4 linked regions of the Macaca mulatta genome follow. The protein of the gene in region 1 interacts with the protein of each later gene in a pairwise test. Links are inferred from orthologs where the notes say so. Each region holds a gene or a part of one and is shown on either strand. Other genes may lie near its edges.

The links. The genes of interacting proteins can lie anywhere in the genome.
Region 2: the proteins of ARNTL2 (region 1) and EPAS1 interact in binary tests that used the Homo sapiens proteins (3 or more experiments, as listed by UniProt). The link is inferred for Macaca mulatta from reciprocal best matches to the Homo sapiens genes BMAL2 and EPAS1.
Region 3: the proteins of ARNTL2 (region 1) and NPAS2 interact in binary tests that used the Homo sapiens proteins (3 or more experiments, as listed by UniProt). The link is inferred for Macaca mulatta from reciprocal best matches to the Homo sapiens genes BMAL2 and NPAS2.
Region 4: the proteins of ARNTL2 (region 1) and CLOCK interact in binary tests that used the Homo sapiens proteins (3 or more experiments, as listed by UniProt). The link is inferred for Macaca mulatta from reciprocal best matches to the Homo sapiens genes BMAL2 and CLOCK.

Annotation. Positions count from the first base shown.
Region 1 is NC_133416.1:29,749,637-29,753,157, reverse strand, and holds part of ARNTL2 (basic helix-loop-helix ARNT-like protein 2), read right to left. Parts: intron 2,815-3,521; coding exon 2,697-2,814; intron 1,762-2,696; coding exon 1,618-1,761; intron 1-1,617. UniProt on the Homo sapiens protein: Transcriptional activator which forms a core component of the circadian clock.
Region 2 is NC_133418.1:78,484,874-78,488,394, forward strand, and holds part of EPAS1 (endothelial PAS domain-containing protein 1), read right to left. Parts: intron 2,041-3,521; coding exon 1,889-2,040; intron 1,477-1,888; coding exon 1,392-1,476; intron 1-1,391.
Region 3 is NC_133418.1:9,141,452-9,144,148, reverse strand, and holds part of NPAS2 (neuronal PAS domain-containing protein 2), read right to left. Parts: intron 2,453-2,697; exon of another isoform or gene 1,307-2,452; coding exon 1,126-1,306; exon of another isoform or gene 1-1,125. UniProt on the Homo sapiens protein: Transcriptional activator which forms a core component of the circadian clock.
Region 4 is NC_133410.1:78,053,823-78,057,343, reverse strand, and holds part of CLOCK (circadian locomoter output cycles protein kaput), read right to left. Parts: intron 2,756-3,521; coding exon 2,543-2,755; intron 1,494-2,542; coding exon 1,291-1,493; intron 1-1,290. UniProt on the Homo sapiens protein: Transcriptional activator which forms a core component of the circadian clock.

The sequences.
Region 1 (3,521 bases):
GTTTACATGTTTCTTGGCTGTCTGTAGTATATGAGGGCCATCTCACATAAGGTCCACTACAGGAGTACTTGTCTGCCTGCTCCCTAGTGTGTCCTTTGCATTTGGCATAGTACCCAGCACATAGTAGGCACTCAATAAACTGTTCATTCACCAACATCTACTGTTGTCACACAATGATCTCAGGTTTATCCCAATCATTTTCCCCTCAGCACAGCCAATGTGCAGGGGTCTTTTTAGAAATAAGACTGTGAAAGAAGCTAGAAGAAAATACAACTTGGGGAGGAATCTTTAGTCCCATTACTGGGTATACACCCAAAGAAAAACAGATCATTCTACTGAAAAGACATATGCACTTGTATGTTCATTGCACCACTGTTCACAATAGCAAATACATGAAATCTGCCTAGGTGCCCATCCATGGTGGATTAAAGAAAAGTGGGCTACATATAAAGCATGGAATACTACACAGCCATAAAAAAGAATGAAATCATGTCCTTTGTAGCAATGTGGATAGAGCTGGAGGCTATAATCTGAGTGAATTAATGCAAGAACAGAAAACCAAATACCACATGTCCTCACTTATAACTAGGAGCTAAACATTGAGCATATAAGGACATAAACATGGGAACAACAGACACTGTGAACTATTAGGGGGGAAGGGAGGGAAGGGTGTGAGGGTTGAAAAACTATCTACTGGGTACTATGCTCACTACCTTAGTGCAATATACCCATGCAACAAGACTGCACATGTAGTCCCTGTATCTAAAATAAATGTTGAAAAATTTTTTAAAAAGAATAGTATTTTCATGAGGACTAAAACACTTACTTAGCACAGTATCTGGCACGGGGTAAGTGTTAAATAAATGAGTATTAGCAATTATCATTTTAGGTGTTTGTCAAAAAACATTCTGACCAAAACTTGTAAATAAATTGAATTTTGTGGCTCCATATAAATATCCTTTTAAAGGATAGGAAAGCAAATCCCATGTTGAAATTTGCCTACGAAATCCTATATCTAATAGCTTAATATGCTCTTAGGCAAAAAAGTCATGAGACATTTTGTAGTCCCCGAAATTTCCCAATTAAGTTAAATAGATGACTATTTAATCAATTCAAAAAGTAAATATCTGCAAGACAAATCTAGCAAAGGATCATAAGAAAACAAATTTACCAAAGAATCAATATCTCATAAAAAATTAAAATCACACCTGGAACATCTTAAGAAACTTTCACCAAAATTAGATCAGGCTCTTGTACTACTGACTTTTTTATTTTAACATCTAACTTTTATATTTTAAAGAGTAATAATGAAGTTTCATAGCAAAAGTTTTATTTCTATCTCTTGTGATTTTTTCCCATTTGATAGGCCCCAAACTACAATTTCAATAATACCATTAAAATCTTGGGTAACAAAGACAATATGTAATTACCTGATAAATTCGAAAGATATGATGAACCAATCTAAGTAATTTTGGTTTAAAAAAAATCTTATTTTTAAGATGCTTTTGGATTCAAATATTTCCCTTGACCATATATTTTATTTTTTCTGTACAGAAAATATTTAGGACATTAATTTTATATCCACTCTTTGCATCACTTGACATTTCAAAATGATACCTTTCTTCTTTGGGTTGGGTAAGCATTCATGCTCTTCTTTGACAGAGATTTTACAACTCTTTATCCGACAGAAAAAAGATCGTCTTGAGCCAGAATAAACATGTGTCCTTCCAGTATGGAAATTACTGTGAACTTGCAAACCAGCTTTTGTAGCAGAAGGGGGTGAGAGAACAGGTGGAAAAGAATATTGTCAAATAATTTTGAAATTTATCTTCCAACATTTTCTGATCATCTATTATTGAGAAAGGAAATAGTTTTTTAAAGCAATGGCATGATTGTACAGTAAACCCTAAAGTGAAACACACCCAAAAAATGTATTTGTCAAGCAATCACATTTTGATAACTTATAGACATTTGCAATTTATCTTTCTTTTTTCCCCAAATGGGGAAGAACAAAGTTAATTTAAGTGAAATGAAATAAAAATTAAATGAAAAAAATGAAAAAAACCTCAACTATTACAGGAATCAATTGTTTTATATTTCATATAATTATTTGGTACTAGGCATTTTCAGAGAAGAAAAAATACTTACACTTCCCAAACGCAATTATACAAGGTCTTTCATACAGAAAAGACCTAATCCATATACAAGAGGATAATTGTCTTTTAGCATGTAGCTAAATAATGGGAACTTCAGCAATTTTTTATCCAAAATGACACTTTCTTGTAAGGATTTTATTTGTATATGAAAAATAGCGGCCGGGCGCGGTGGCTCAAGCCTGTAATCCCAGCACTTTGGGAGGCCGAGGTGGGTGGATCACGAGGTCAGGAGATCGAGACCATCCTGGCTAACATGGTGAAACCCCGTCTCTACTAAAAATACGAAAAATAGCAAATATGAAGGAATCATATTTTCCCCAAACAAAGCATCTTCATATGAATGCATTTGTGTTTGTATATGTCTGTATGAATACAGGAATTTTCTATATAGCTATATATATTAACTATGATGTAAAGTTTACAAAATAATTCTCGTTTGGTAAAAGCTTAGTTAGCTGTATTAAAAACACCGTGTAGCTAAACTTTTAGGTGATCATTACATTTACATAAAATAATAAGCATGCAGAAATGGACACTTACTTTTGGCATCTATTAGCTTTTCTCTTGGTGAAATATCAAAAGAAGAAAGTTGTTCCTTTACTTTGGCAACATCTTTTGGATGCAAGAAGTCAAATAAGCTTTGTCCAGTCAAACTAGCCTATTCATAAGGTAGACATTCACTTAAAATCAGTACCATGCTTTTTCTACATTTCTTGATGCATACAATAAATGTCCTTTTTTGTTAAAGGTTGATTTTTCTCAAGCTCAAAGATACGTTCACGACACTATGTGACATGAGCTTAGTGTTCAAAGTGGGGTGATACTTGTAGACAGAAAAAAATACATGCATATAGAACCATCCCTGGATATACACAAACCATATACAAACACTAATTGCTAGTATTCCGCTACATCTTGTAACTCTTGTTAACATGATACTTGTAAATGATTGTGATTTATTTTGAACTTTTTTGTCCTTGTTAAAAAAAAGAGATTACATGATAGTATAATATAGAAATCACAGAATATCTGTGACTTTATCAGACATTTACCATACTGTTTAAAAAATTACCATACTATTGATAAGTAAAATCCAACCCAGAATACCTCTCACTTCCCATTCCACCACTCCCAATATGCACAGCATCCCCAGGTCTATGCCTTTGCTGATACAGTCCCATTCCTCAGAACTCACCACCCCTACCCTATCCCTTGGCCACTCCAGCCAAATTGCCTTTGACTCCCTAGACTTCGGGACTCCCTTCTTTCTCCCAGCCTGAAATGTTTCCTCCCCTTCTCTACATCTCGCTTCTGCCAAGCCTCGCAGACATCCTACTTCATGTGTGATGCCTTCCCTGACCCATA
Region 2 (3,521 bases), on another chromosome or scaffold:
TGTACTTTGCAGGCTCAGTCTGTAACAGGGTGGAGGTGAGCCAATGAAGTATCTGCTTTTGCAGCATGTGTGGTAATAAGAGCCAACCCTTGTAGGCTTAGCCTCACTGCCTCTGTTATTCAGGTTGGACAAGCATAAGCCCCATGGCAGTGACAGGTGATATTATTAAAGAGGACATCTAGACATGCACAGAATCTGCCCAGACCAGTGACAGAATCTCAGGTTTGGAAGGGACCTTGACAGTCATTAAGCCCCACTTCTGCCCAAAGCTTCAGTCCTCTTAACAATGTCCCTATTCATGCCTTTGTTGAATGGCCACAGTTACGAGAGAGGAAGCTCCACTGCCATTGCAACGTGCTTTCTGCCTGTGTGGGTCCTCTCATCCACTGGCACCTGCTGGGTATCCCCATGGGTAAGGTCCTGTACGCTAGATCTTTTTAAATCTCTTCTCCGTCAAAACCTACTTGACCTATGTCTCATCAGGGTACCATTTCCTGTGGTAGCTCATCTCCAAAAGTAGCTCCAACAAGCCATGCCTTTTGACACTCATGGCTTTGTGTAGTTTCCTCCCACAATGAGCCAGGGCTGTCCTGTAACATGCTCTAACCAACAACATGGGGCAGAAGTGATGCTCTGCTAATTTGAGGACAAAACCTTGGGAAGGCCTGGCAACTTCCACCTTAGTGCTTCTGGGAGCCCTGAGCTGCCACATGTCTGGCTACCCTAGAGACACCGTATGGAGAGGGAGAGTCTCTGAGACTCCATGGAGTGACAGAACAGTCCCATTGTCCCAGCATGCCAGCTGAATCCAGGGTTCCAGCCACCTGACACAAGGTCCCAGACATGTGTGAGCTATCCTGATCACCCCAGCCTAGTCTGGCCCCCAGATGACTGCAGCCCCACTGACATCACATGGAGTATAAGACCCACCCACTGAACCCACAGAACGCTGGGAGATAATCATCAAAGCCCTATGTTTTAGGTGGTTTGTTCCACAGCAATAGATAACTACAGTAGTTCCTATAAGCACTTTGGCACAGACTGGTTTCTCACTGGTTTGGGTGGTGTCATTTGGCAGAGATGCTTGACTCTTGGGTGATGAAACCTCCTAGAGACAGTGTCCTAACCCAAAAGAGTCCCCTAGTAGTGGGACACCAGGCATCATGTGGGGCCAGCAGGAGATACTTCTGAGTACCGGGTCCTCTCAATGCCCCAATCTCATCTCACAGGCTACACACTTAAACGGAGGGCCAGCCTAGCTAAATTTTTTAAGGACATCCATTTTTCCTGCATTGCAAGGCCATGAGCTATCTCCCTTATACTTGTAGACAAAGGGGAGGCAGATTCCCACCCAGTGGGGGCAAGAAGGAAATAAACACAATTAAGGATACCATTTTTGAGACTCAGGTTCTCACGAATCTCCTCGTGGTCGCAGGGATGAGTGAAGTCAAAGATACTATGTCCTGTTAGCTCCACCTGTTTCAAAAACAAGGTTAGGCATCATTATTCCTAACAGTGAAGTAAAAGACTCCAAGAGGAAGCTGAGCCACCTTCCAGATTTGGAGGCAGGGAGGAGATTGAATTGGGTTTTCTCATAATCCCAGTCCAGTGTCAGGTCCACAGACAGAAAGATGTAATGGGGGATTACTGATGACAGAGTCTGTTAATGAGTCAGTAGAGAGCTGTCTGCCAGGATGGACATAAGCAAAGCCAAACCCAATGCCTGGGGGTGGGACTGTGGCCTGAGGCATGTGGCCTGAGGTCAGCGAGGGTCACAGTGGCCATTTACAGGGAAAGGTCAAGTGGGATTGTGGCTAGCACCTTCTACTCATTTCTACCCCCAAATGGAAACATTTCTTCTTTTGAAAGAGATAGAGGGGGGTGTCACCTGTGTAAGTCCCATGAACTTGCTGATGTTTTCTGACAGAAAGATCATGTCGCCATCTTGGGTCACCACGGCAATGAAACCCTCCAAGGCTTTCAGGTACAAGTTGTCCATCTGCTGGTCAGCTTCAGCTTCAGACTCATTTTCAGAGCAAACTGGAAAGAGAGGGGGGCGGGACAGTTACATGAATGTGGAGTGAAAACAGATGTGACTGGCACAGATAGGCATTTGCCAGGGATGGCGCAAAGGCATCGGGTGGACTCTTCTGGAAACGCGCACTGCCGACCATCTGAATGTCTGCCCCAGCCCGGCAGCAGGCACTGGATGAGCACCACTGCACAGAGGACACCCTGACAGGGGCTGTGAGGACAGTGTGCTTGTTGTGACAACAGTACTTCTGGCACTAGCAACGGGAGCAGTAGGAGCTGCTGTGTGAGTGGTTCGGGGTGGAAGTTTTCCTAGGCTGCCCCCAGCAACCACCTGTACAGCCTGTAGACTCGGCTCTTGTCCCAGACCAAAAACACCTCTTGGGCCCCAGGTCTTTGGTGGTTATACACAGACCACCGACTTCATTTCAGCCCTTTTCTCCTAGTTCATTATTTATCTCCAAAGACATTTACTTATGAAAATTTGTATTTATCCAGTGCAAACATCAATCAAAGTATGCCTGAATATAACGGTACTCATAGAAGCAGGAACAAATTTTAGCTGCTAATATATACTGCAATCACAACATGAAAGGTACTGCACTAAGCATGCTATGTAATCTTCACAGTGACCTACGAGGTAGATACTATTCTTAATCTCATTTTACAGATGAAGTGTACAGAGGTTAAGCCATTTGTCCAAAGGTATAAAGATTGCAAAGTTAGCAAGCTTTGACAGCTGAATCCAGAAGCCACACTCAACCATTCATAGGCTTTGGAGTTAAACACAGGTTCTCTTCCTAGATCACCCTCCTATTAGGCTATGACTCTGAATAAGGAACAACCTCTCTGGATATCACTTTCCTCATCAGCTAAATGGGAATAACAATTTCCACCTCTGAATTGTAAGGATTAGATAAGTATGTAAAGTGCCTAAAACTATAACAACAGTAAATTCTTTCTTCTTTCTGCTCCAAGACATGCACTACCCTCAAATTGCTCAGATCCCGGGTGAGGAATATATAGCACTCAGAGATGCAAAGCTAAGTAAAAGTTCAAGGGTGTCATAGCTGGGCTTCCAAGGAAAAGTGTAGATGGGACGAGCTCTAAGGGTCAGAGGACGAGGGGGTCACTTTGGGGTGATCACAGACAACTAACTGTTCCAAAGAAGATTTGCAGAGACTTAGAAAAACAGATTTCACTCTGTGGAATGAAAGAAGGGCCTTCTGAACCAGATGGGATTGTGTGAGCACTGGAAAACCCCTGGAGCAAGCTCCCTCCTAGACTGAAGAGAGGCCCATCTGGCTCAAGAGGAGAATCCATCTTCCAGTCTCAGAGATTGGGCTGGTGAGACAGGCCCAGTGTCCTGGAGGGGCCTCATGTGTCAAGCAAATGTGATCAGAGGAGTACATCTCAAAGCACTGCTTTGGGGAGATTAGTCTGGCAATGGCATACAGAGTGGTTTGGAGACAGTGAAGCCCAGAGGTGCA
Region 3 (2,697 bases), on another chromosome or scaffold:
CCATGAAGGCTTCCCCACCACAGCACTCCCACTCTTCCCAAATCCGAGCCTGACTGCACTCTGTGCTAACCCACCTTCTGCACCCCACCCCGAGGCCCCTAAGGGCAGTGAGTGGGCCGAAGAGCTCTCTGTATTCATAGCCTGCATCTTGTATGCAACAGGTGCGTGCAAACTTGTCTGTTGCTCATTTCCCATCCAAAATCACTTCTGGGTCTCGAGAACTGACAAGATCTGCAAAGCCAAAGTCTGAGCTGACTCCCACTATGCGTGGGGTCAGGGAGATCCGAAAATTACAGCACAGATGGCTTAGCAGCATTGGAATTAAACTACATTCTAGAACTTCAAGGACAGCTATCTTCATCGCTATCTACAGTACTCAAGAGGACTCAGCCTCTGCTCATTCTCCATGGCTTTGCAGGTGCAGGTGGAGCTGCAGGCCAGGGAGGAAGCCCCCTAGGACACAGAAGGGCTGGGTGAAAAGGGGCACCCTGCACATGGGCAAGGGAAGGCCAGGCCCTTCTGGAGCTTGGCAGACGCAGACGTGTGGCTCCCAAGTGAACCTCCCAACCAGTGGCTCTCACCCTCCCTGCTTTTGGCATACTTGGCACTTGCCTGAAGTGATTTTTGCCTTCTAAGTAGTGACCACATGTAAATGAGCTCCAAATTTTCCTGGCAAGCCCAATTTCACACATCACTGTATTTACTAAGGCAGGTTAGTGGATCTTTAACTAAATGTGATTTAACTTTATGTTTATATAGGACTTTATAAACACACTGAAAAGTCCAACATAGTCATCAATGTTTTTTGACTTCTGCTCTAAAAACTATGAACATGTCTAGATGCAAATCCTTGAGTAAAAACTACTTTTTTAAAAAGGAACCTTTTCAGCACATAATCACATAAGGCATAATAGCCGACTCGTAATTTCACATACTCCATAGATATAGACTTCATAACCTTTAAGCATGAAAAACAATCAAATGAGAATCTTTCTGGGGCTTACTTCTATACTAGGGATAGAACAACCTTGAAAGCAAGGGAATAAAATATCTTTGAGACTCGGGGTACGGAGTGTGGCCCGGCTCCCAGGCCTGCACGGGGGCCCCCTGGGCTTTGGCACCCACCTGCAGGTAGTGCTGTGGTGGCTGCTGCCGGGCCTGTGCAGGCTGCAGGGGTGACGGTTGGGAGGCGGGGAAGCTGGGGTGGAGCACTGCCTGCCCCATCAGCAGGACGGGCATCGGGGTGCTGCTGCTGTTGACAGGGTGTGCATCTGGATTTGGAAAGACGGTCTGGCTCTGTGCGTACCTGTTTCACGTGGGAAGGAGAAAACAGGTCCTTTAAGAAAGCAGTATTGATATGACACCCAAAGCATGAGCAACAAAGAAAAAAACAAGTAAGTTGGACTTCATAGAAACTTTTGGCCAGGCACAGTGGTTCATGTCTGTAATCCCAGCACTTTGGGAGGCTGAGGCGGGAAGATCACAAGGTCAGGAGATCAAGACCAGCCTGACCAATATGGTGAAACACCGTCTCTACTAAAAATACAAAAATTAGCCAGGTGTGGTGGGTGTCTGTAGTCCCAGCTACTTGGGAGGCTGAGGCAAGAGAATAGCTTGAACCCGGGAGGTGGAGGTTGTGGTGAGCAGAGATCATGCCACAGCACTCCAGCCTGGGCAACAGAGTGAGACTCCATCTTAAAGAAAAAAAAAAGAAACTTTTTTGCATCAAAAGACACTATCAACACTATCAACAGAGGGAAGAGGCAGCCCACGGGGTGGGGGAAGACATTTGCATATCACATATCTAATAAGAGACGGATACCACAATATATAAAGAATGCCTACAACTGCACAACAAGAAACCCAAACAACCCAATCAAAAAACGGGCATGGGGCTGACATTTCTCCAAAGAGAAGCTAGAAATGGCCAACACACACATGAAAACATGCTCAGCATCACTAGCCATTAGGGCAAAGCAGATCAAAACCAAAATGAAATGTCCCTTCACACTCATTACAATGGTGATTATCAAAAAACCAGGAAGTAACAGGTGTTGCTGAGGATGCAGAGACATTGGAACTTTAGTGCTCTGTTACTGGGAATTGTCAAATGCTGCAGCCACTGTGTTAAATGTTGGCTCTGTGTCCCCACCCAAATCTCATGTTGAATTGTAATCCCTAGTGTTGGAGGTGTGGCCTGATGGGAGGTGATTGATCGTGGGTGGGGACTTCCCCCTTGCTGTTCTTGTGACAGAGTTCTCCCTAGATCTGTTTGTTTAAAAGTGCGTAGCCCCTCCCCCTCTTTCTCTCTCTCCTCCCGGTCATGTGAAGTTGTGCTTGCTTCCTCTTCACCTTCTGCCACGATTGTAAGTTTCCTGAGGCTTCCCAGAAGCAGAAGCCTGTACAGCCTGCACAATGGTGAACGAATTAAACCTCTTTTCTTTATACATTACTCAGGCTCATGCATGTCTTTATAGCAGTGTGAGAATGGACTAATATGAATGTATGGTAATTCTTCAAAAAAATTAAACACACACAATGACCATTCTACCATATGATCCTGCAATTCCACTTCTGGGTATATACCCAAAAGAAGTAAAAGCAGGAACCTGAAAAAGATAATTGTACATCCATGGATGTGTATAATCATATTTTGGTTTATTGTGAATAAACCACTATATAATAAACAATTATTAT
Region 4 (3,521 bases), on another chromosome or scaffold:
TGCCATATTCATCTAGGTAGGCCTTCAAATGTTTACTAAGATGTGGTTTCTGTCCTCCTCCATAGATAGATGTTCAGGGAAACGCAACTTAAAACCACAGTTAAATATCACCTTACCCCAGCCAGACTGGCCATTATTAAAAAGTCAAAAAACAATACACACTGCTGGTGGGAATGTGAGATTTCTCAAAGAAGTAAAAGTAGATCTACCATTTGATCCAGCAATCCCACTACTGGGTATCTACCCAAAGGAAAAGAAGTCATTGTATCAAAAAGACACCTGCATACATATGTTTATCGCAGTACAATTCACAATTCCAAAGATATGAAATCAACCTAAGTGCCCATCAACCAGTGAGTGGATGAAGAAAATGTGGTATGTATACACCATGGACTACTACTCAGCCATAAAAAAAGAATAAAATAATGCATTCTGCAGCAACTTGGATGGAGGTGGAGGCCATTATTCTAAGTGAAGTAACTCAGAAATGGAAAACCAAATACTATATATTCTCACTGGTAAGTGGGAGCTAAGCTATGGGTACAGCAAAGGCATACAGAGTGATATAATAGACTTTGGAGGAGGATGGTGGGGGTGAGGGATAAAAAAACTATATATTGGATAGAATGGGCACTGCTCACGTGATCAGTGCACTAAAATAAGTCATAGATGGTTGTTTTTCCAGAGCAGGCCACAAAACCTTTCTGCAATAAATGTTTAAGCACTTGAGCATTGAAATGACGACACCAAGTTCTGTGTTCAGAGCTCCCTCCCTCATCACCTTAGCTAGCTAGAGACCCCTTGGCTAATTACTGAATATTCACTTTTTTCTTATCTGGGAAATAAAAGAAGGCCCTCATTTACATTTTCTTTTAATAAATGACAATTTGAGACAACATATTTTGAGCATTTAACAAACTTAAAGAAGGTAAGCTACCCTAACCACTGTTACTACATGGACATTCTCTAGCATCTATATTGAAAAGACAAAAGCTTCACAGTGACACAGAGCCTGTCATAAACCTTTTCTAACAATGTGCTGTAGAATCTGTATTCTATAATATCTTGCAGCATATTTTTGGACAAGAAACAAAATTTGTTGTTACCCTTTAATTATGAAGTCTTTAAACAATGAATAAATTATGTGTTTTTATTTCAAATTTAAGAACACTGGCTGCAGTGAGCAACACATTAAAGTCACATTAAAAAATTTGATTAAAAAATCAAATTATTGTTTTCTAATTAATCGGTTTACAATTTTCAAAATAACAAATGAAATATGACAACTACCTTATCTGCCTGTCCTGAGTGAATGTAGTTACTGCAGCACTCTGGGTGCTGTTTTGTGGCATACTAGATGGAATCTGGACCATGCTTCCGGCTGCAGGCTGAGAAATCACCATAGTGTTATACAGTGGGGCTGTAAGAGTGCTCTGTGTCTGACTGGGTAGAGATGTTTGCTGACTGTGCCCACTCAGTACATTTTGTTGACTCTGTTAAAAATAAAGAGAGATTTTATAGACAGATTAACTGAAAATAATCATTTGGGAAGTATGCTAGAATTCATCATTCTAACAATATGACAATATGACAGAGAAAGAAGTGGCAGGATATATTACTCTGGGAGAAATATAACCACAAAGGAATGACTCATGGTAATTGAGAATGAATTAGTCTTGAATATCTTGCTGGAAGGTAAGCTATGACTTTAGAAAGAAGTGTGACTATAATAGAGATGATATAAAATATACCCGAAGAATTTCTGTTAAATGCCCAAAGTGAATAACTAATTAGTGGGTATTTTGCTATTTTTCATTTAAATCCTTGGGATTTACAGTCACAGATGTACAATAATTGCCAATATTTTCTGGAATAGTCAATAAACCATTACTGCCCCCTCCCCCAACAGTCTATTCTGCACCAGCAGGCTTCCTGGTCAGCCTCTTGAGCAAGTCATACCTTTTTAACATACAGAAATAGTCTAAGTTATAGTAACTTGGTATAATTACTAGACTACATCTTTAAACAGATTGTGATATATTTTAAAGCTCGGCTGGGTGCAGTGGCTCATGCCTGTAATCCCAGCACTTTGGGAGGCTGAGGTGGGCGATCACCTGAGGTCAGGAGTTCGAGATCAGCCTGGCCAACATGGTGAAACCCCATCTCTAACAAAAATACAAAAATTAGCCCGGCGTGGTGGCGGGTGCCTGTAATCCCAGCTATTCAGGAGGTTGAGGCAGGAGAATCGCTTGAACCCAGGAGGCAGAGGTTTCAGTGAGCTAAGATCATGCCATTGCACTTCAGCCTGGGCAACAGGACGAAAACTCTGTCTCAAAAAAAAAAAAAAAAAAAAAAGCTGAAAATATTTGATACTAACATGATTAGCACAAAACATTTTCATGATCACTTTCAATGCTGTACTTTCTAAATATGATTAAATTTTGAAATGATATTTTATCATTAGAGCTTTATTTCTGTTTCAGCAATAGTGTGCATTCCAAACACTGACCACTCCATAGCCCGCTGTGCTCAGTAACATTACCTGAGTTGATGTACTACTCTGTAAAGTCTGTTGTTGTATCATGTGCTGAGTTGTGCCAATGTGTCCAGTATTCATTCCACTTTGAATCTGGTTAGTAGGAACAACTTGGCCTTGCATATTTATAGGTGCAAGTTGCTGGATGTTAGATGAATTTCCAGAAGAAAGTTGAACAGAACCAAAATTCAACCCAGGATTTGATTGCTGCAAAAACATCTTTAAAAATAAAGATTATGTTAAAATGAGCTTTGTAGATTGAAAAGAAGAATGAGAGCATTAAAAAGAAGGCAAAATCAAGCTACACGAGGTCGGGAGATCGAGACCATCCTGTCTAACACGGTGAAACCCCGTCTCTACTAAAAATACAAAAAACTAGCCGGGCGTAGTGGCGGGCGCCTGTAGTCCCAGCTACTCGGGAGGCTGAGGCAGGAGAATGGCGAGAACCCGGGAGGCGGAACTTGCAGTGAGCCGAGATCGCGCCACCGCACTCCAGCCTGGGTGACTGAGCAAGACTCCATCTCAAAAAAAAAAAAAAAAAAAAAAAAATCAAGCTATAAAGTACATTTAAAAAGCAAGTAACAAGGTTAAGTCACTTTGAAGAATTAGCAATAAATAATTAGTGAATAAAACACGAAACTTCATATTCAATCTTTCAGTTATTTTAATTCTATGTTTCCAATTGTTAGAAAAAGTGTAACTCGGTGCTACTCAGTCTGTGGACTGACAGCTCTGTATCACTTATCATTTATACTTTATAACATCAGACAGAAGTAGTTTTCACTCCGTTTCCCTTTACCAAAGTCATAGTCTCCTGGAGTGGTCCTGCTGGTTGGTCATGTAAGACTAATTTGAATCATACATACTGGTAGTTTAATAAAAATATTACTGATGATTGATTTATAAATTCTGTACCCAAGAGGTACCTAAAACTTGATGTAAAATATAATTTTTATATTATGGATTCAAACTTACTAAAATTTGG